5 linked regions of the Xenopus tropicalis genome follow. The protein of the gene in region 1 interacts with the protein of each later gene in a pairwise test. Links are inferred from orthologs where the notes say so. Each region holds a gene or a part of one and is shown in the gene's direction. Other genes may lie near its edges. The genes, in order: tle1, hes6.1, foxa2, dazap2 and tk1.

Region 1 (3,514 bases):
TGGCAGGCACATGACAGATTTGGGACTCTGATAATTCTAGTTCCTACCTTCACATGAAATTCTAAGCACAGTTAGTCAGTCTCCTTTTGGAATTTCCCTTCTAGCCAATATATTTTATTTATTTTTATATTAGTTTTTTTTTTTTTGTACAGGGGCACATACTTCTAGTATGTATGGCAGTGTTGCTGGTCTTTTTTATGTGATGTGTTATATTTTTACCATGCACCTGGGTATTTAACTAAAGCGGTGTGCCACTCTCTTGTAAAAAAAAAAAATAAAAATATATATATATATATATATATATATAAGTGCTTGAGAGAGGGTCAGCACTCACAGGACTTATACAAACAAATTATTTTATTAAAGAGGAGACTAACGTTTCGGCTAGCACTCTAGCCTTTTTCAAAGTTTGAAAAAGGCTAGAGTGCTAGCCGAAACGTTAGTCTAGTAAATAGGGTCGCGGCATTAGGAAGGTTGAGAACCACTGTACTAGAACAAAACAAAGATTTTTTTAGTAAGGAACAGAAAAACATTATGGGTGTATAAAAACAGGAGCTCATGCAGTCTAGATTTTGTATACATTGGAAACTTTTGTGTCTATTGAGCATTTTTGTATGGATACTGAAATTTTCTGTTAAATATTATCCCTTAGAGAAACTCTTTGCAGCCATAGAGATAAGTGAACATTTTGTGCAAGCTATTTTGTGCAATGCTTGTATAAAATATAATTAGAAGAATCCGCTCATTGGCAACAAATGATTTTATCCAAATTGCCTATTCTAAAGTTTGCTAATTAAATTACTGAAATTAGAGCCACATAAGCGCCTGCGCTTTATCTCAAAACAGAAAGGGGGGCGTGTTACTCTTTTAATATATTTACAAGAGGTGACACATGTAGGGAAAGTCCAAAGCTAACAACACAGCAGTGTTTACCTTGAATACTGGCAGGAAATCATTATTCAATCGTGTTTGTCTTATCAGGCAGTTCCAGGGCCACACAGATGGAGCCAGCTGTATTGACATTTCTAATGATGGTACCAAGCTCTGGACCGGGGGTTTGGACAACACGGTAAGGTCCTGGGACCTGCGTGAAGGACGGCAGCTCCAGCAGCATGACTTTACATCACAGGTAATTGCTGCCATATTTCTTTCACCTTCAACCCTTCTAAAAAATGGGATAATGTCAAGTATTAATATTATTCTTTAAATATTTACTTATTTGAGAGTAGAATAATTCCTATATGAATACTGTGGTTTATAAAATGTTTTTAAAATGTATTTTTTAATATAAATAAGTAATAGTCCTAGTTTGCAGAGGCAATTGCTACTACCATGCCATTTGACATTCCAGCTGTCTGTAGTTTATCTGTAATACAAACTTTGCAATAATCCAGAGGAAAGGAAATAATAAAAATGCAAACATTTAGGTTAATGTAACATATGGTAATTTGTTACTTTTAGGGAAATAATTTCCCATTGATTTTAACAGGAATTACATATAGCCTCATGGTGCAATTTGAAGTGAAAATGAGGGCAGGGGGATTCTTTTTACTCTTGTATTTTCACTTAACAATGAGATTTCCAATTAACAGTTATGAGTATAATTGCTTACCAGTGCTCCTGTCACCTGAAAACTGCACCGGGATTGGGTACTGTAGTGTATCAAAAAGGCATAATTATCAGAAAACCATAAGATCAAAAATCTGCATCAGTTCTGGGAAAACCTAAAATCTAGGTTCTACTGTAGCCTAATGATGGTTTATTGCATTGATTGACCACTGTATGTTTCCTATAGATCTTCTCTCTTGGGTATTGCCCAACTGGTGAATGGCTTGCTGTTGGAATGGAGAGTAGTAATGTGGAAGTACTGCATGTAAACAAGCCAGACAAGTATCAGCTGCACCTGCATGAAAGCTGTGTACTCTCACTAAAATTTGCCTATTGCGGTAAGTTGGAACTATTTTATTTTGCAGGGGAGTGGGGGTGATGTCTAATTTTCAGAGTGCTGTGTTTATAAACTGAAATATTATCCCAGCAATCCATTTAGAATTCATTTTTACCATAAAAGCAAAGAAAACAAACTCTGCCATTAGCCTAACTGTTTTCGCTGTGCCTCTGACATTTTATATGCAACGGGAGAAAAGCTGATCTGCTGCCTTCTGCTTCCTGAATGTGTATGTGGTAACTGCCGCGGTTTTAATGCATATTAAAATTTAACAATACTTATTAAAACATTCAACATTCTTGCAGGAATGGACAAAACAACATTACAAGTAAACACACAGCAGACTCCAGGGCTTTAGAACTTTAAAATATGCATTTTTGCTACAAAATCCACTGCGTGTGCACTGACAAGCTGATCCCTAGCCTGTCAGTGCATACAGTGGCTTGCAAAAGTATTCGGCCCCCTTGAACTTTTCCACATTTTGTCACATTACAGCCACAAACATGAATCAATTTTATTGGAATTCCACGTGAAAGACAAATACAGAGTGGTGTACACGTGAGAAGTGGAACGAAAATCATACATGATTCCAAACATTTTTTACAAATAAATAACTGCAAAGTGGGGTGTGCGTAATTATTCAGCCCCCTTTTGGTCTGAGTGCAGTCAGTTGCCCATAGACATTGCCTGATGAGTGCACCTGTGTGTAATCTAATGTCGGTACAAATACAGCTGCTCTGTGACAGCCTCAGAGGTTGTCTAAGAGAATATTGGGAGCAACACCACCATGAAGTCCAAAGAACACACCAGACAGGTCAGGGATAAAGTTATTGAGAAATTTAAAGCAGGCTTAGGCTACAAAAAGATTTCCAAAGCCTTGAACATCCCACGGAGCACTGTTTAAGCGATCATTCAGAAATGGAAGGAGTATGGCACAACTGTAACCCTACCGAGACAAGGCCGTCCCCCTAAACTCACAGGCCGAACAAGGAGAGCGCTGATCAGAAATGCAGCCAAGAGGCCCATGGTGACTCTGGGGGAGCTGCAGAGATCTACAGCTCAGGTGGGGGAATCTGTCCATAGGACAACTATTAGTCGTGCACTGCACAAAGTTGGCCTTTATGGAAGAGTGGCAAGAAGAAAGCCATTGTTAACAGAAAACCATAAGAAGTCCCGTTTGCAGTTTGCCACAAGCCATGCGGGGGACACAGCAAACATGTGGAAGAAGGTGCTCTGGTCAGATGAGACCAAAATTGAACTTTTTGGCCAAAATGCAAAACGCTATGTGTGGCGGAAAACTAACACTGCACATCACTCTGAACACACCATCCCCACTGTCAAATATGGTGGTGGCAGCATCATGCTCTGGGGGGGCTTCTCTTCAGCAGGGACAGGGAAGCTGGTCAGAGTTGATGGGAAGATGGATGGAGCCAAATACAGGGCAATCTTGGAAGAAAACCTCTTGGAGTCTGCAAAAGACTTGAGACTGGGGCAGAGGTTCACCTTCCAGCAGGACAACGACCCTAAACATAAAGCCAGGGCAACAATGGAATGGTTTAAAACAAAACA
Region 2 (3,958 bases), on another chromosome or scaffold:
GAGGGAATTCCAGAACTTCACAGCTCTCACATTAAAAAATCCTTTCCGAATATTTAAACGGAACCTCCCTTCTTCTAAACGGAGTGGGTGCCCTCGTGTCCGTTGGAAGGACCTACTGGTAAATAAAACATTAGAAATGTTATTATATGATCCCCTTATATATTTAGACATAGTTATCATGTCACCTCTTAAGCGCCTCTTCTCCAGTGTAAACAGACCCAACTTGGCCAGTCTTTCTTCATAACTGAGACTTTCCATACCCTTTACCAGCTTAGTTGCCCTTCTCTGTACCCTCTCTAACTCAATAATGTCCCGTTTGAGCACTGGAGACCAAATAGGTTTGTGGGTGCTGGGTTTACTTGGAAGGGTTGAACTTGATGGACTCTTTTTTCAACCCTATGTAACTCTGCTCTCACCCTTTGGTAATATATATAGAATTGTTAATGAATCAGATGAAAGTGAGTGTAGGACTAGCCAGACCAGGGATGACATAGTTGGCCAGCTAGAAGTATATTGCAATATATGGACAAACAATCCCTGTTTTGCTTAGAGAGGAGGGCATTTCTTGGTAGTTTAATGCCTATATAGATAATGGGTCAGTGCAGATCTCTTATTGCTGCCCCCGTGAATTTTGGGGTCACAGCCTCATTGCACCCCAGCCTAATGGTTCAAAATTTAGTAGTGAGCAAAACCTTTTTTTCGACCTTATGACATAATATACACAAGACAGACGATTCAAAATCTTTCTTAATTTGCTGCATAAAATTAACTAACTGAATGAATCACTATTAACTGATCTGTGTCTGCACTTGGCGGAATTGAAGCTGAGCGGGTGTATTAAACCTCGGAGAACCCCACACATTCGCTGCACTATAAGGGCAGGTGATAAGAAACAGGACTTGAAAGCAACAGCCGCACATAAAACGCCTATAGCACAGCATTGCGATAATTCAGTGCGGGCGGTACCTGCAACCTAAGCCTCACACTCCCGCAGCCCTATCCAGCAGCTGCCGACTGGCACAATGCGACGCGCTCCCATTGGTTGGCGGCGTACGTGACGCAACGAGCGGCCTGCCATTCACATGGAAATGAGGCGCGATATATGGAGAGTGCGGGCAGCCGCAGAGTGACGTCACAAAGAGCTCGGTAGCACGTCCCATAGCGATCAGATGGAGCGCAGGGAGAGGCAGGTGAGAGAGCGCTATATAGGCACGGTACTGTGGCTCCGGTTATATCTACCACTATATCTCCCATGGAGCGGGGGGACAGGCAGGTGAGGGAGACCCCGGCGCAACACTTTCACTTCCGTTGTGTGTGGATTAAACCAACAGGCCGGGGCTGTGTAGCGCGGCGATCGCTCTGGGCACCTATTGTGCGCACTCATTGCGCCTCTCGCTTTGCTGAGCCTTATGCACGGATTTGTCTTTGAATTAGTCCCCCCAGTGTTCCGGCAGTGTTCCGGGCTGCCTGGGGTATGTGCTGCCGTGCCCATGCTTCAGCGGGACGTGTGTGCAGCCTTTGTGCGCCTACACGCTCTACGTGCGACACTGTTGCACCGATGTATCGCTTTGCGTTTGGCTAAGCGCTATACTGGCTTTGCTGTGCCGTAACTTGGCTGCAGATCAGCTCCGTGCCTTGATATTTCTGTAATGTAATTAAATGCAGCCCTCAGAGCTGTAGCTGCTGGGAGTTGTAGTTTTGCCCAGTTGTAGGGCTGCCTATTGCAAAGCCTAACCCCATGCCTGTAAAAACTTGTACATTTAGAATGTGATTGGGCGCAGTGAATGTGTTGCCTTACATGGCACTGTTTATAGAGGGGGACCTGGCTGTTGTCTCTAGGAAGGTATATACTAGAATGAAACTTTGTAGCAGGGTTGCCTTTCATGCACTTTGTTTTGCCATTTTAAGTTCCCCTGCAACCAGTTTGTATGACTGTACAGCTTTAAATGGCCCCCAAGTCCATTTGTAATGTAATTGTTATTGGAAGCAATATCTGTCTCTGGCTCCTGGAACAATGTAGTAGAAATACGCTCATTTACTGATCTGAAGGAACCAACTTCTGCCGTATAGTTTCAAGAGACAGTTTTCCCAATTCATTTATAATGAAAGTTAGATAAGTATTTAGCGGAGTGCACTGCTATTGCCTTGCGACTATAATCAGACATTTCTTAGTTAGATTTGTTTGGAGGACTTGGTGTTTTTGTGTTTAACTGATAATTGAAACTCTGGAGAGAGTGGGGTTCATTTACTAGCCCTGGGCAAGCTTTAGTGACCCATAGCAACTAGATATCGCCTTTCAGTATTGTACCTGCAGCAGATTGATATTGGCCAATTACTGCGCTAAGTTGATGAATGAGCCTCACTGATATATAAAAGTGGATGGTGAAAGGGTTAAAGGAAGACTGTGTAGATCATGGGCTTCTCACATAGCATACATCCAAGATGGACAAATGCTGCAAAATAATTGATTCAGTCTGATAGATCCTACTCTTTGGTGCCCTGAATGTATTATTTGCCAGATTCCTTCCACAGTGTTTGTGTTGGGGCAGTTTATAACGGGCATTTGTTTGTTTGGTTTTTTAAACAGATGAGGAAACCTCTGGTTGAGAAGAGGAGAAGAGCTAGAATAAATGAGAGCCTACAGGATCTGCGTGGGATCCTGTCTGACACTGAGGTATGTACAGAAGCTCAGACGAGCAGCCTTTTATTCATACTATACTTGCTGCTAAAGTTTGTTCTTTTTATCTGTATGTATATATTTACATTTGTTTATTAAAGTGCCACATATGCCACAGTACTGTACAATTATTGTGTATGCATTGAACATACAGAGTACTTACAAAAAGAGCTCACACGGTGTGGGGATTTGTGTGTGTGTGTGTGTGTGTGTGTAAATGTAAACACACCTATATGGTTGTAGCCCCCATGGGATATTAGTTTTCTGCATTTTCTCTCTGCTTGATGTACATTTGCTCCATTAGTTCTGCTGTACCATGAGTATGATCCTGTGCTACACTCACATGTAGATGTTTACATTAAGGCATTGTCATTTCTCTTTAGTTTCAGTCAAAAATGGAGAACGCAGAGGTTCTAGAACTGACTGTGAAACGTGTTGAGCGGATCCTTCGGAACAGAACAGCTGGTAAGTGTGTGTGTGCCAAGAATGTATAGAACACCTCCTCCTAGTAAAGGCATGGGGGGCCTTGTGTATACGCACATAGCGGCTTTCGTCTGGTTGTCTTGGCTAATGTCTCTGGTATGTTGTGCCAGTGCCCATAGTCATAGTGATTTCTTTATTTTACAGAGGCTGATCGGTTACAGCGTGAGGCCAGTGAGCGTTTCGCAGCAGGGTACATCCAGTGTATGCATGAAGTTCACACCTTTGTATCCAGTTGTCCTGGCATCGATGCCAGTTTGGCTGCTGAGCTTCTGAACCACTTGCTGGAGTCTATGCCCCTGAGTGAGGGCAGCTTGCAAGACCTAGTGATGGATGTACTTCTGGATTCCACTAGCTCTGAAGAGGGATGTGGCTTGGGAGTGCTTGGATCCTCCTCTGAGGATAGCTGCTCTGATATGGAGGAATCTGAGGGGGAAAAGGCTGGAATGGGTTCAGTCCAGGACAGTGGCCGGACCCCTGAGATTCAGCCCCCCACCCCTACAATGTGGAGACCATGGTGACCAAATGAAGAAGATCACAGGGAGCCATGCTCATACACTAGTATTAATGTACATCAACTATGAAAGAGCCACCACCTGTCATTTCTGTATTTTTGGATCTCTGTAATAGGAACTCAACCTATTTTAACACTTAAAGGAAAGGACTTAGTACTGTTGTATAGGATGACCCATGAAAAATTCTGATTGTTCCACTGCCACTACCTTCTGGATGTTTCACTTTGACGCTGATGTTGGAGCATCACACTGTAGATACTTTCCATTATAGTGTTTTTGTGTAATA
Region 3 (4,313 bases), on another chromosome or scaffold:
TGTGTATTTAGACACATGCCTCCCACCTCCCTACTGTATACAGCTTGTGCGTTCTGTTTTATTTTATTATTAGTAATTTCCCCTCATTGTACAAGATTAGCTTTCTGTACATTGCAGGGCTGTTCAAACGAAAGGCAACGCTTTATTCCTCTTCAGAATTTCCTTGTTTTCCTAAGGCCCAATTTATTGACCATCCCTGAGACGATCTGCTAAATCTGCGATGATCAAACACGTTAAATAAACTTTACTTTGTTTAATATCTCAAACAGCAAACGTGCCCTCCAGAATAAATATATGTTGCAGCTCTGCTTGTGCGCTTAGTTCAGTCGGAACGGGCGGCAAATGACAGATCTCAGGCAGATGGAGCAGACACTATACAAAATACAGAACAAATCTATTTTATTATATTTTATGCAAGTGGATTATCGTCGGTTCTGGGGCAAGATTGGAAGGAATACAACAAGATCGTAGAACATTTCGTCTCTTTGAGTCGATGCTGTGGATAGGTTTTCATACTCAAATGTATTATCTGTAATAAATTTTTATTTTGGCATTTCCCTTTCCCTGGGATCTGGGTTTTTAAGGTAACTTTCTGTAAAGATTCACAGGACTTTGTATCAAATTGGAATGGAATTTTCCTGATTGTGGTGAGATTAAAAATGTAACCTTATTGCATTATCACTTTATTCTATTTCTGTTATTTATCGTTAAACCTTTACCTAATTGCACTTTCATTGGTTCTGAAATAAATCGCAACCAATTATCTTATGTGGGAGTAATAATTCTTATTTCTATTATCTGTATATGCGTCCCAGTTATTTGCCATTCATATTGATTGTGAATTCAATAAAATAAAATGGTGTATAAAATAATGTGTGTTGGGGAGTTGTATTTTGCTTTGGTATCAGTTAATAAGATATCTGCCAGTTTAGGTGACTACAGTTTCTCCCATATCCATGTAGAGGAACAAAAAAATTGGGTAATAAAGTGAGTTTGTGTCCTTCTCTCGTCCAATCCCCACTCCTCCCCTAGGGAAGTGCACAATCAGATTAAAGCTTAATGAATCTATTCAAATAGGTTTAAGGCAGGTGTAGAATAGCAGGGCCAAGGAACAGTCTGGCACTTAGGTGTGAGCTGATTATTCAAATGGGCAGGCGAAGACCTGGGGATTGGAGGTTTGCCTGGAGCTGGGTGCTATATCACCCTGCAGCAACGTCACTACTAGACTTGGAGTCATCATCATCATCCTCCTCCTCAGCAGCAGCACCCTGAGGTCTTTTTCACCCCCTGCAGCACCTCTTGCTACTTCAGTTTCCCTGAAACCCCATCCCACTCATTGAGCAGCCCCTCTGGCTGTCCATTTGTGCCCAACACTAGCCCAGCAGCAGCAGCAGCCACCTCCAGCCTTCCCCCTCCTAGTGATCAGAGAGGAAGAGGGAGGGTTCCTGGCTCCCTCACACTCTCTCTCTTTTTGTTGCTATCGCTGTCGTAGTTGTTGTGGCAGTTAAATTTTAAACTGCCAGGCACTCAGCTTCCAGTATGCTCGGGGCTGTGAAAATGGAAGGACACGAAGCCACAGACTGGAGCAGCTACTACGGGGAACCCGAGGTAAAGAGCCGCTTGTCGCTAATGGCACAATCCTTGCCTCATTCTGCCTCTTTATAGCGCACTGTTAGCCCTGGGATAATATTAACTTGGTCATCAAATATTGACTTGTGGCGCCTCCAAATCCTCCTCGATGACTGAGCCACACACTGTCCCAACAAAGTTCTGTTTGGCATGGGCAGGGGGGGCAAGGCAATGGGCACAGGCAAGGGGAATTGTATGGAAAAAAAACAGATTATACTTGTGAATTTAACTAATCACACTTTCAGGAAGAACAGTTTGTACTAAATATGGACATTTTCCTGATTTTCTCCTGGAGTTGTCTTTAGTAAGAACCCTTATACCCAAAGGGCTTCCCAAGGCTGGCTTGGGGGGAGAGGGGCTGCTATATTCCTTAAATCATTTTATTTCGTTTTTTGTTGTTTTTTTAGCATTTCTGGGTCTCTGAATATTTGACACTTTCGTTTTCTTTATTATGGAATCAACAGTAGGGTCAGAATAGCAATGTGTGGGCAGCCTTATAACTGGGCAGGTATAGAGAAACGTATAAATAAATATTTATTGATCTTTTCTAGAGGGGCTATATATATGTATGTATATTGTATTTAATATTATTTGACATGATTTAAGCCCGAGTTGTTTAACATTAACAGAAGAAAACGTTCTACGAGTTGTACATGTGTCTCTACAACCTGTGACTTCCGAGCTCTTGCTGAACTACATCTTCCAGCCTTCCACGTCTGCCTCCACGGACAGTGTGTTTCAGCCAGAGCCGGAGGGCCACAGGTTGCTGTTGATTTTGCGACTTTTAGATTGTGACCCTGTCGTTTGTTCCCAGGCTTACTCCTCGGTGGGTAACATGAACGCCGGGCTGAGCATGAACCCCATGAACACGTACATGAGCATGTCTGCTATGAGCACCTCGGCCAACATGACCGCCGGCTCCATGAACATGTCCTATGTGAATACTGGGATGAGCCCATCGCTCACCGGCATGTCTCCTGGCACCGGGGCAATGACTGGAATGGGCACCGGGGTAGCCAGTATGGCAAGTCACCTCAGCCCCAGTATGAGCCCGATGAGTGCCCAGGCTACTTCTATGAATGCCCTGGCACCCTATACCAACATGAACTCAATGAGCCCAATCTATGGACAGTCCAACATCAACAGATCCAGGGACCCCAAGACTTACAGGCGCAGTTATACGCATGCGAAGCCCCCCTACTCGTACATCTCGCTCATCACCATGGCGATCCAGCAGTCCCCCAACAAGATGCTCACTCTCAGCGAGATTTATCAGTGGATCATGGACCTGTTTCCTTTCTACAGGCAGAACCAGCAGCGCTGGCAGAACTCTATCCGCCATTCTCTTTCCTTCAATGACTGTTTTCTCAAGGTGCCCAGGTCCCCTGACAAGCCCGGAAAGGGCTCCTTCTGGACCCTACACCCCGATTCGGGCAACATGTTTGAGAATGGCTGTTACCTGAGGCGACAGAAACGCTTCAAGTGCGAGAAAAAGCCCAGCCTTAGAGAAGGGGGAGGCAAGAAACTCTCAGAAGGGTCATCGAGTGTGGGCTCTGCAGCCAACAGCAGCTCTGAGAGCTCAGTGGGCAATGAGTCCCCGCACTCCAGCTCGTCCCCCTGCCAGGAGCAGAAGAGGTCTCTAGTAGATATGAAGTCCAGCCAAGGCTTAAGCCCAGACCATGCAGCCTCCCCAGCCTCCCAAGCCCAGCACTTGCTTTCCCAGCACCACTCTGTCTTGTCCCATGAAGCCCAGTCCCACCTCAAACCAGAACACCATTATTCTTTCAACCACCCATTCTCCATCAACAACCTCATGTCCTCAGAGCAACAGCACCACCATCACCACCACCACAACCACCATCATCACCATAAAATGGACTTAAAAGCTTATGAACAGGTGATGCACTACTCTGGTTACGGGTCCCCCATGACTGGCAGCCTGGCAATGAGCACAGTAACAAACAAAAGTGGCTTAGAGTCTTCACCTATTTCCAGTGACACCTCATACTATCAAGGTGTGTATTCTAGACCTATCATGAACTCCTCATAGACTTTCTACCATGGACTTGTCACCTGGGCTCTGTGTATATAATATTAAGAAGAAAAACAACATAGTATGTGTCTACATTCCTATTGAATTGTACAGTCCCCCGAGTTTGTTTCTGTATAGGAGCTTAGCTTGTTAAGCTATGTTTGATTTGGGTGCTTTTCTTTGGCAAGGAGTATATTTTTGTGAAAGTGACGGATCCTAATTTTTCTGTGTGAAATCTGTTAATTTTCCCTAAGGACCAAAATTGTGTGATATTGGTAATGTTAAAAAAAACAGAAACGGAATATATTGATGTAATTGAAAAAAAAGATGTTTTTTTTTTTTATTTGTTTGGGGGAGATGCTTGAAACTGGTTAATTTATGGTTTCTGTATGTTTTATTTATGACTGCTGTATGTATTCTGGCCATAACCGGCCGGTTTAACAATCTCTATTAAAAAATGAATTGGCATTTCTGTCGGGATTTTTCTTTCCACCTCTATACACATATTTTTGTGGCTGAAGGTGAATCAGATAAGTGAGCACAAGCCAAGGTCTGGACTGTACCAAGGTGGGATACAGGGAGGCTGAAGGGTTCTGCTCTGCTGACACTTCCCTTCAATTTCTCACAAGTCCATGAAAGTTCTGCCACAATG
Region 4 (3,514 bases), on another chromosome or scaffold:
ATGGAACTCAAAATGGAACCCATTATTATTGTAAATATTGTGCTGTACTTTGTATGCCCAAATTGATTTTACACATTGTTTTCCCATCTGTTGGGAACTGCAGTTTTATCAGCATCTTTGAAATTCTTTTGGGTTCAGGAAGTGTTAAAGTGAAACGGACTTCATATTGTGCCAGAAATAATGGAAAACATAGATATTTGGTTATTAAAACAATAGGCAAAGGTATGTTAAGCACATGCCTTATTTATCGAGCTCATGTTGAAAAAGGGTGTGTAGTGTCCCTTTAAGCTCACAAGGTGCTGATAGTTTATTATATAAAACCCTGTTGACCTTACAAAAGACAGCATTCTGGCTGGTCTTGTAGTTTGGGGAGGGGACAACATACAGGGGAAACATGGGGTTTTGTGTTGCACTGCCCTGTAATTGTAGTATGGGTGTGTGTTTCAATGGTTTCACTACTTGTCTGCCATATATATAGTAGGCATTTTGAAATTATTCTTATTTTTAATGGTGGTCAATTATTTGTCCATTATTGGTAACAAATTATGCTTTTAAAGTATAGTTTTAGTTTATTGGTAATTTATTGGCACTAACAGATATATTTTTTTTCTAGCTCTACCGATCTGGGTATGTGCATCAAGCAGCAGCTAATATGGCCCCTCTGTCTGCAGCTTACCCCCCCAGCACATCAATGTATCTTCCTATGGCTCAGGCTATGCAAGTTGCACCAATGGCCTCATCAGTACCTATGGCTTATTACCCTATTGGTCCTGTGTACCCACCTGGCTCCACAGTCATTGTTGAAGGGGGCTATGATGCAGGCGCTAGATTTGGTGTTGGTAGCTCCCCATCTGTTCCAGTAAGTGTTATAACAGGCTATTAAATCGGTGTTAGAGACAAATATATCTGCTTTTGTATGTTATATCGGTATTAATAATGCTATCATTAAATTCATGTTCATAAAATCTAATTTATTTTTGCAAATGTATATGTATGTAGGGAGACATAAGGCGCACACCATAAACAGTTGCTTTACCTGGGTGCCTGAGAAACAACATAAACAATTCAGAAGAACGACACTTGCAAGATTTGCTAAATCAGTCTTCCAAAGGTTTTTTTTTTTATCTTCCGAAGAAGGTGCCTGTGGGGGACCGAAATGGTGCAAGATAAACCTTTGGAAGACTGATTCAATAAATCCTGTGAGTGCTGTTCTACTGCATTGTTTATGTTATACAAGTACTGTCAGACTGCATGCAGTATTCTTTCCAGCACTTTCCAGCTTTATACAGACATTATATCTTGCTGCAGGGAAAGGAGCATACAGAGCATGATATAAACTGTGTATATATATATATATATATAAAGTAACTGCTATAAATGGTTCTCTTTCTTTAAATACCAACATCTATTGTGCAATACTGAGTGTTACCTGTAACACTCCTTGATAAAAGTCCTAATGAGGATCGAAAACACATTTTTTTTTGTTAAATCTGGGGTGGTTTACTTATAAGTTAACTTTTAGTATCGTATAGAATGGCTAATGGCTGCTGATATTCTGAACTGGAGAGCTGCTGAATAGAAAGCTAAATAGCTCAAAGACCATAAATATTGAAAAACCGATTGGAAATTGTGGCAGAATATCACTCTACATCATGCCAAATGTTAATTTAAAATTGAACAACCAACCCTTTTAAGAGAGTGCTGGTATGTAACAAAGTTTTATATACACCTTCTAAAACTGGTTCTTGTGCCCTCTTACCTATTTTTGTACCATGGATATATATATATGCAAGGGTATAAATAGACAGGAATACAAATTTAAATACATCCCTGACAGAAAAAAAAATAGTAATTGTTATAGTTAACATTTTTGCATTATGTGGAAAGAAAATAGAAATTGCCTGTGGAGGAGAACTTAGTGACAGTGCCCCTGGAGAACCCTGCTTTATAACATATATTTCTGCATCAGATATTTAGAAGACAAGTGAAGTAGTGAGCACATCTTGGTTCTGACAGTGCTTCTTAATTTATTTTGACTCTGAATACATATTAACTTCCTAGCCAAATGATAGCTATGAATGTTAATGTTAATTTAGTAATTTGTGGTGGTATACCTTGTGCATTTTATACTATAAAATCTGCTACCATTTTAATGGTCTTTTCTCTTTTTTTTTTTCCTTTCAGCCACCTCCACCGGGCTGCCCCCCGAATGCGGCTCAGCTGGCTGCCATGCAGGGTGCAAATGTATTGGTCACACAGAGGAAAGGCAATTACTTCATGGGTGGCTCAGATGGTGGCTACACCATTTGGTGAGATGGAACCAGAGGCATGAAAACAGGGGTTAAAAAGCAAAAATAAAACAAAAAAAATAAACATAATACAATGGGCTAGCCTTTGTACAAGGAATGGCATCTCACCCTGTGAGCACTTCCCACAATGTTCTGCTTTAGAATATTAACCCAGATTTGCTGTTTAGTCACGGATGTCGTGGGATGTCTTCCTGGTGCTCATTCTTTAAGTACTCCTACTATATATTAAAGGAGGTCCTTTTAATAAGGAAAGAAAATGCTTTGCAACCCTTTAAAACACCTCTAACCTCTTCCCATGCACCTTCACTTAATAATAAACTTTCAAATTACAGGCTGATTTTAGGCTCACCGAGTCCTTTAGATGAGGGATGGAAGGACTGTGCGTTAGGAGTAATATTTGAAATAACTGAGAAATTGTTGTGCTTTATAACTGTTGCTGGCTTTGGAATAGGACACAGCTGTATTAATAACACCTAGGACTGCATATTGTATCTTTTAAAGAAAGCAAAATGAAATGCCTAGATAGACAAATATATTTGGCCTCTATTGCTGAATGTCCTATCATCATTTCTCTATGTATTTCAGAAAGTCCTATTTCTTTTCAATCCCCAGATTTCAGATATATGCATCTTGTTTCTGTCTTCTGCAAGTCAACCATTTGTTTTTTAATTTCTGAATGCTGCTTGAAACAATTTCTGCTTTTCAGGGTTATTTGCCCTTTTAATTAGCAGCATGATAGAATAGTTGGATATTGTAGAGATTAGCAGTTAGACTACACACGAGGGTGCTATATTATCATTTTCAGATGCAAATCATATAACTTACAATACTTAATAATACTATATATTTTTTTTTGTTAAAATGATTTTAGGTTTAACTACTGGTGTTTCTCAAGTAGCACTGGGAAATGGAAGTAATAGGCAAGGCTGCTAAGCATGGTGCTTTTTGTGCCTTTTCCACCAAATAGCGTATATAATAAGCCAGCCTAAACACATTTTCTGCTCACCTCTTAAATCTAAATTATTTGTTCTTCTAAAGGGATGGTGTTTTGGTCAAGGAATGGTAATTCAGCAACACTTTATTTTTTAAGTAATTTGCCAACCTACATAAATGTATAATGCATACTTTTATGAAAAGAATGAACATGTATATATGTTTTTGGAGGTCAGACTTAAGAACCACTGACAGCTTAACAAGTGCAAAGA
Region 5 (4,095 bases), on another chromosome or scaffold:
GTTATTTTTTTAAAAATGGGATGTGGTAATTGGGGCGTGGCCACAAAAGGGGGCGTGGTCAAAAATTGCCGTGCTGCGCGTGCCAAATCTTTTTGTCCCTCTTTTCATTTTTCAAATGTTGGGAGGTATGATATTATACTTCCTGACAATCTGATTAATACTATACAAACAAAGTAGTGAGAAACTGGGCAGTAGCAGTAATAGCAGGTAATATGACAAAGGAGAAAGTCAGAGACCTTCAGCGGGGCATGGAGCCCCTATTAGCTGGGCATGGAGCCCCTATTAGCGGGGCATGGAGCCCCTATTAGCGGGGCATGGAGCCCCTATTAGCTGGGCATGGAGCCCCTATTAGCTGGGCATGGAGCCCCTATTAGCTGGGCATGGAGCTCGTATTAGCTGGGCATGGAGCCCCTATTAGCTGGGCATGGAGCCCCTATTAGCTGGGCATGGAGCCCCTATTAGCGGGGCATGGAGCCCCTATTAGCGGGGCATGGAGCCCCTATTAGCTGGGCATGGAGCCCCTATTAGCGGGGCATGGAGCCCCTATTAGCTAGGCATGGAGCCCCTATTAGCTAGGCATGGAGCCCCTATTAGCGGGGCATGGAGCCCCTATTAGCTGGGCATGGAGCCCCTATTAGCGGGGCATGGAGCCCCTATTAGCGGGGCATGGAGCCCCTATTAGCTGGGAAAGCTCTCTCTGAAAATAAATATCTGCTATTGGCACAATTTTTTTTTTTTTTAAAAATGTATTTTCTTCTATTGCAAAAATTCTTACTTTGGCAAAAGGGACAGAGTTGGGGGGGGTGATTTTATTAAAATTGTGAAGCACTTCTTTAAACATACAGGCTAAGCGTAATACTAGTGCCAAAACGCGTCAGCCATCGTTCTAACAAGTGCCACAACCCACAACAGGATTTCGCTGCGGTATCAGCGGTAGATTTCATTGAAGCGTTCCGCAAGCTTTCCTTCATATTATATGCAACTGACCCTTGCATACTCCCTCGCTAACTGGAAAAGAACATTTACATTACAGGGTCCCACTAGTTACAAATTCATGTTTATTTAATTTTCTTTTCCCGCCACCTCCAACTCGTTTGCCAAACACCAGGCCAACCAGTGAAAGCTGAATCCCCTCCTTCCTCATCTTCATAACAGCGGGGGCTGTAGAATCCCATTGGCTAGCGTACACCATCGCCGCCTGTGATTGGACAGAGCTGCGCGGGAGAATGCACAGACGTTGTATTGAAAGAAGTGACTGTACCGGACACAGTCATTCCCGCGCTCTGCTCTCGCCTGGTACCGATATGAATTGCCTCAACGTACCCGAAATCATGCCAGGCTCGCCCAGCAAATCCCGGGGCCAGATCCAGGTAAGCCGGGCACAGCATTACATTTAGCCATGCAGTTTACTCTCCAGATGACTTGTCATGAAGTGAAGTGATTTGTAGTTCTAGGAGAAACTGGCTGAGCACTCTTGTTATATGACAGCTGCAAGGGAGTTTTTGTGTTGTATCTAGCCTAACACATCTTTATGAGAGGCCCCCTAAAGGGAACGTGTATTAATAGTGGGCTCAGGTGCATGTATAGATTATATTTGCCCTCAGTATTATACACCAAGGGCTGTGAGGCACAACACACTGCATCATGCAGCTCCCAGACATACATCTTGTATATAGACTTACATTTGGGTTAAGTATATATTTAAGTGCAACTGTACAGGGCAGGGACTTTGTTCCTTATTAGTGGGGTTATCATTTTTATATAAGTACCCAAGGGCATGTACCAAATGTGGCAGCCTTAGGGGTTGCACTCTGGTGCCTGGAAAGAACAAAACAAAATATATCCCTGCCCTTGAAGCTTATGGTGTGTGCCAAATAATTCTAGCAGTAAGTGGAAAGACTGCTAAGAATTCTGGTTTTTAGGGTAGTGGCACATATGGCATCATAGGGGCTGGGATTCAAAACAGAACCTGCTATTTCAAGCACACAGAGGCCTAAACAGCCAGGGACAGGCTCCAGAAATAGTGACTGTTTGTGGCATGTACCAAAATCTGCAGATTGGCAGTCTGAGCCTGATATTCAGGGTTATTTTCTAGGGGGGTTTATGGCACACAATGAATTCACTTTCTTTTGTATGTGAGCCCCATAAAGTGTTGGCAAAGACTATTCCCAGTGTCTTAGTACAGGGATCCCCAACCTTTTTTTGCTTGTGAGCCACACTCTGCTGTAAAAAGTGTTGGTGGGCCACACAGGCATGAAAAAGGTTTTTGGGGTTGCCAAATAAGGGCTGTGATTGGCTATTCGATAGCCCCATGTGGGCTGCTAGCCTGCAGGAGGCTCTGCTTGAAGTAAAACTGTGTCTCTGTGATTCCAAAACTTGCCTCCAAGCCAGACATTCAAAAATGAGCACCTGCTTTGAGACCACTGGGAGCAACATCCAAGGGGGTGGGGAGTGACATGTTGCTCAGGAGTCACTGGTTGGGGATCACTGTTGTAGTAGTTGGGATTGGGTATATATCATATGCATTCTTACAGAGTTTATCTATAAATAGAATACTAATGCTGGCAAAGGATGGAATGCAGAATTGTGTTTTGAACAAAGGTTTGACTGAATACACATTCTGTAGATAAAAGGTTCTACATTCCACAACATAGATTCTACATTCTGCCGCACTCACAGGTGGGGAGGAGAGCGGCGTTTATGCTGCTCCTTTGTTCTCCAGCCCCTAGGAAACAAGCAGTATTGTAAAAATCTGGTCTGTGTGCTAATTTTGAAGTAGTTGAAGAGACTGCCATGACTATTTTATTTATTATTTTCATTTTGGGGCCTTTACATTTCACGGTCTTTGGCGAACCTTTGTATGGATACAGGGCCAGAAGACCCGTCCTATTTATAGTGCCATACAATGGTACCTTTATCACATTTTGAAGATAAAATACAGAGAGGTTTGAGTTAGTTTTTACTAAAATTTATTAGAAATCCACTTTAGCAAAGCATTGCTACCACTGGAAATTATTTGGCCATGCAATTGTATGCTGATTTCTGCTGCACTGCTTTGAAAACCTGCTTATGTTTGGAATTTATGACCTGTACAAGTCAGAATTCTGGTATTGGCTCATTCGGGAGACATGGGGCCTTCCAGATCAGTGAAATATAAAATGCTTCTGATATATACTTCTGTATTGTATAGAAATTATTTTTATCATGTTACAGAAGTGGAGTTGCACAAAGACTCTGAGAATGTTAAGGTTGTCCTAACAAAGCAATGGGCAGTTTCAATATGTAAACTAAAAGACAAAATGCCCCAAAGAACACAAAATGCTCAAATTAGCTACATGGTTAATGATAAAAGATGTTAAAAAGTATACATGTCCATCAAATGAAAGTGTATATACCATGACTGCTATAGTTGGTTTGTGTGTTAATTTGTATTTCAAACCCATTTGTTTTTACTTTTAGGTGATATTTGGGCCAATGTTTTCTGGAAAAAGGTGAGTTCAAAGGACCGCGCAATTCTATATTCTCTCTCATGAGCTGTAATCTAGATGTTCCTTATTGAGAACAGTGTGTTGCTATGGCAATGGGGCACGCTACTTCCAATGGGCTAAAGTGCTTTGGAAGGAGGGCAGTAGGGGAATCAGTCTTGGTCTGCGTTGGGACAATTCTTCTTTTTTTTTTTTTTTTTTTTTTTTTTTTTTGAATGGATGGTGGTGCTGTTTGGTATTTGCTCACATTGCATCCATTTTTAGAGTGCTGCAGTATGTATTATAGTAAGCCTTTTTAAAAAAGTATGTTTATTGTCCTTTAACTGCTGTATGTCATCGCATGAGACTGCTTATTTTCCTATTCTGCTGAACAAATTTTCTGTATATTTTACAGCACAGAGCTGATGCGCAGAGTGCGACGGTTTCAGATTGCACAGTACAAGTGCATGCTTATAAAGTATGCGAAAGATACACGCTACAGCAAAGAGCATCTTGCTACACATGACCAGTAAGCAATTTTACACATTCTGTATTGTTAAGCTCATCTTATCTACATATAGAAATATCGCATATCATTGGTTGTGGTACATTTGTATTTACTGATTTTAAA

Evidence for each region.
Region 2: the proteins of tle1 (region 1) and hes6.1 interact in binary tests that used the Homo sapiens proteins (3 or more experiments, as listed by UniProt). The link is inferred for Xenopus tropicalis from reciprocal best matches to the Homo sapiens genes TLE1 and HES6.
Region 3: the proteins of tle1 (region 1) and foxa2 interact in a two-hybrid assay, tested with the Homo sapiens proteins (2 studies listed by BioGRID and IntAct). The link is inferred for Xenopus tropicalis from reciprocal best matches to the Homo sapiens genes TLE1 and FOXA2.
Region 4: the proteins of tle1 (region 1) and dazap2 interact in binary tests that used the Homo sapiens proteins (3 or more experiments, as listed by UniProt). The link is inferred for Xenopus tropicalis from reciprocal best matches to the Homo sapiens genes TLE1 and DAZAP2.
Region 5: the proteins of tle1 (region 1) and tk1 interact in a two-hybrid assay, tested with the Homo sapiens proteins (2 studies listed by BioGRID and IntAct). The link is inferred for Xenopus tropicalis from reciprocal best matches to the Homo sapiens genes TLE1 and TK1.

Annotation. Positions count from the first base shown.
Region 1 is NC_030677.2:133,433,304-133,436,817, reverse strand, and holds part of tle1 (transducin-like enhancer protein 1), read left to right. Parts: intron 1-981; coding exon 982-1,129; intron 1,130-1,795; coding exon 1,796-1,946; intron 1,947-3,514. UniProt on the Homo sapiens protein: Transcriptional corepressor that binds to a number of transcription factors. Inhibits NF-kappa-B-regulated gene expression. Inhibits the transcriptional activation mediated by FOXA2, and by CTNNB1 and TCF family members in Wnt signaling.
Region 2 is NC_030681.2:128,040,293-128,044,250, reverse strand, and holds the start of hes6.1 (transcription cofactor HES-6), read left to right. Parts: upstream 1-1,154; 5' UTR 1,155-1,169; coding exon 1,170-1,214; exon of another isoform or gene 1,215-1,252; coding exon of another isoform or gene 1,253-1,273; intron 1,274-2,587; coding exon 2,588-2,674; intron 2,675-3,060; coding exon 3,061-3,142; intron 3,143-3,304; coding exon 3,305-3,678; 3' UTR 3,679-3,958. UniProt on the Homo sapiens protein: Does not bind DNA itself but suppresses both HES1-mediated N box-dependent transcriptional repression and binding of HES1 to E box sequences.
Region 3 is NC_030681.2:35,623,898-35,628,210, forward strand, and holds foxa2 (forkhead box protein A2), read left to right. Parts: upstream 1-1,509; 5' UTR 1,510-1,539; coding exon 1,540-1,608; intron 1,609-2,443; coding exon 2,444-3,679; 3' UTR 3,680-4,129; downstream 4,130-4,313. UniProt on the Homo sapiens protein: Transcription factor that is involved in embryonic development, establishment of tissue-specific gene expression and regulation of gene expression in differentiated tissues.
Region 4 is NC_030678.2:142,308,535-142,312,048, forward strand, and holds part of dazap2 (DAZ-associated protein 2), read left to right. Parts: intron 1-613; coding exon 614-859; intron 860-2,184; coding exon 2,185-2,313; 3' UTR 2,314-3,514. UniProt on the Homo sapiens protein: In unstressed cells, promotes SIAH1-mediated polyubiquitination and degradation of the serine/threonine-protein kinase HIPK2, probably by acting as a loading factor that potentiates complex formation between HIPK2 and ubiquitin ligase SIAH1.
Region 5 is NC_030686.2:26,185,847-26,189,941, forward strand, and holds the start of tk1 (thymidine kinase, cytosolic), read left to right. Parts: upstream 1-1,286; 5' UTR 1,287-1,304; coding exon 1,305-1,370; intron 1,371-3,459; coding exon 3,460-3,491; intron 3,492-3,879; coding exon 3,880-3,993; intron 3,994-4,095. UniProt on the Homo sapiens protein: Cell-cycle-regulated enzyme of importance in nucleotide metabolism. Catalyzes the first enzymatic step in the salvage pathway converting thymidine into thymidine monophosphate.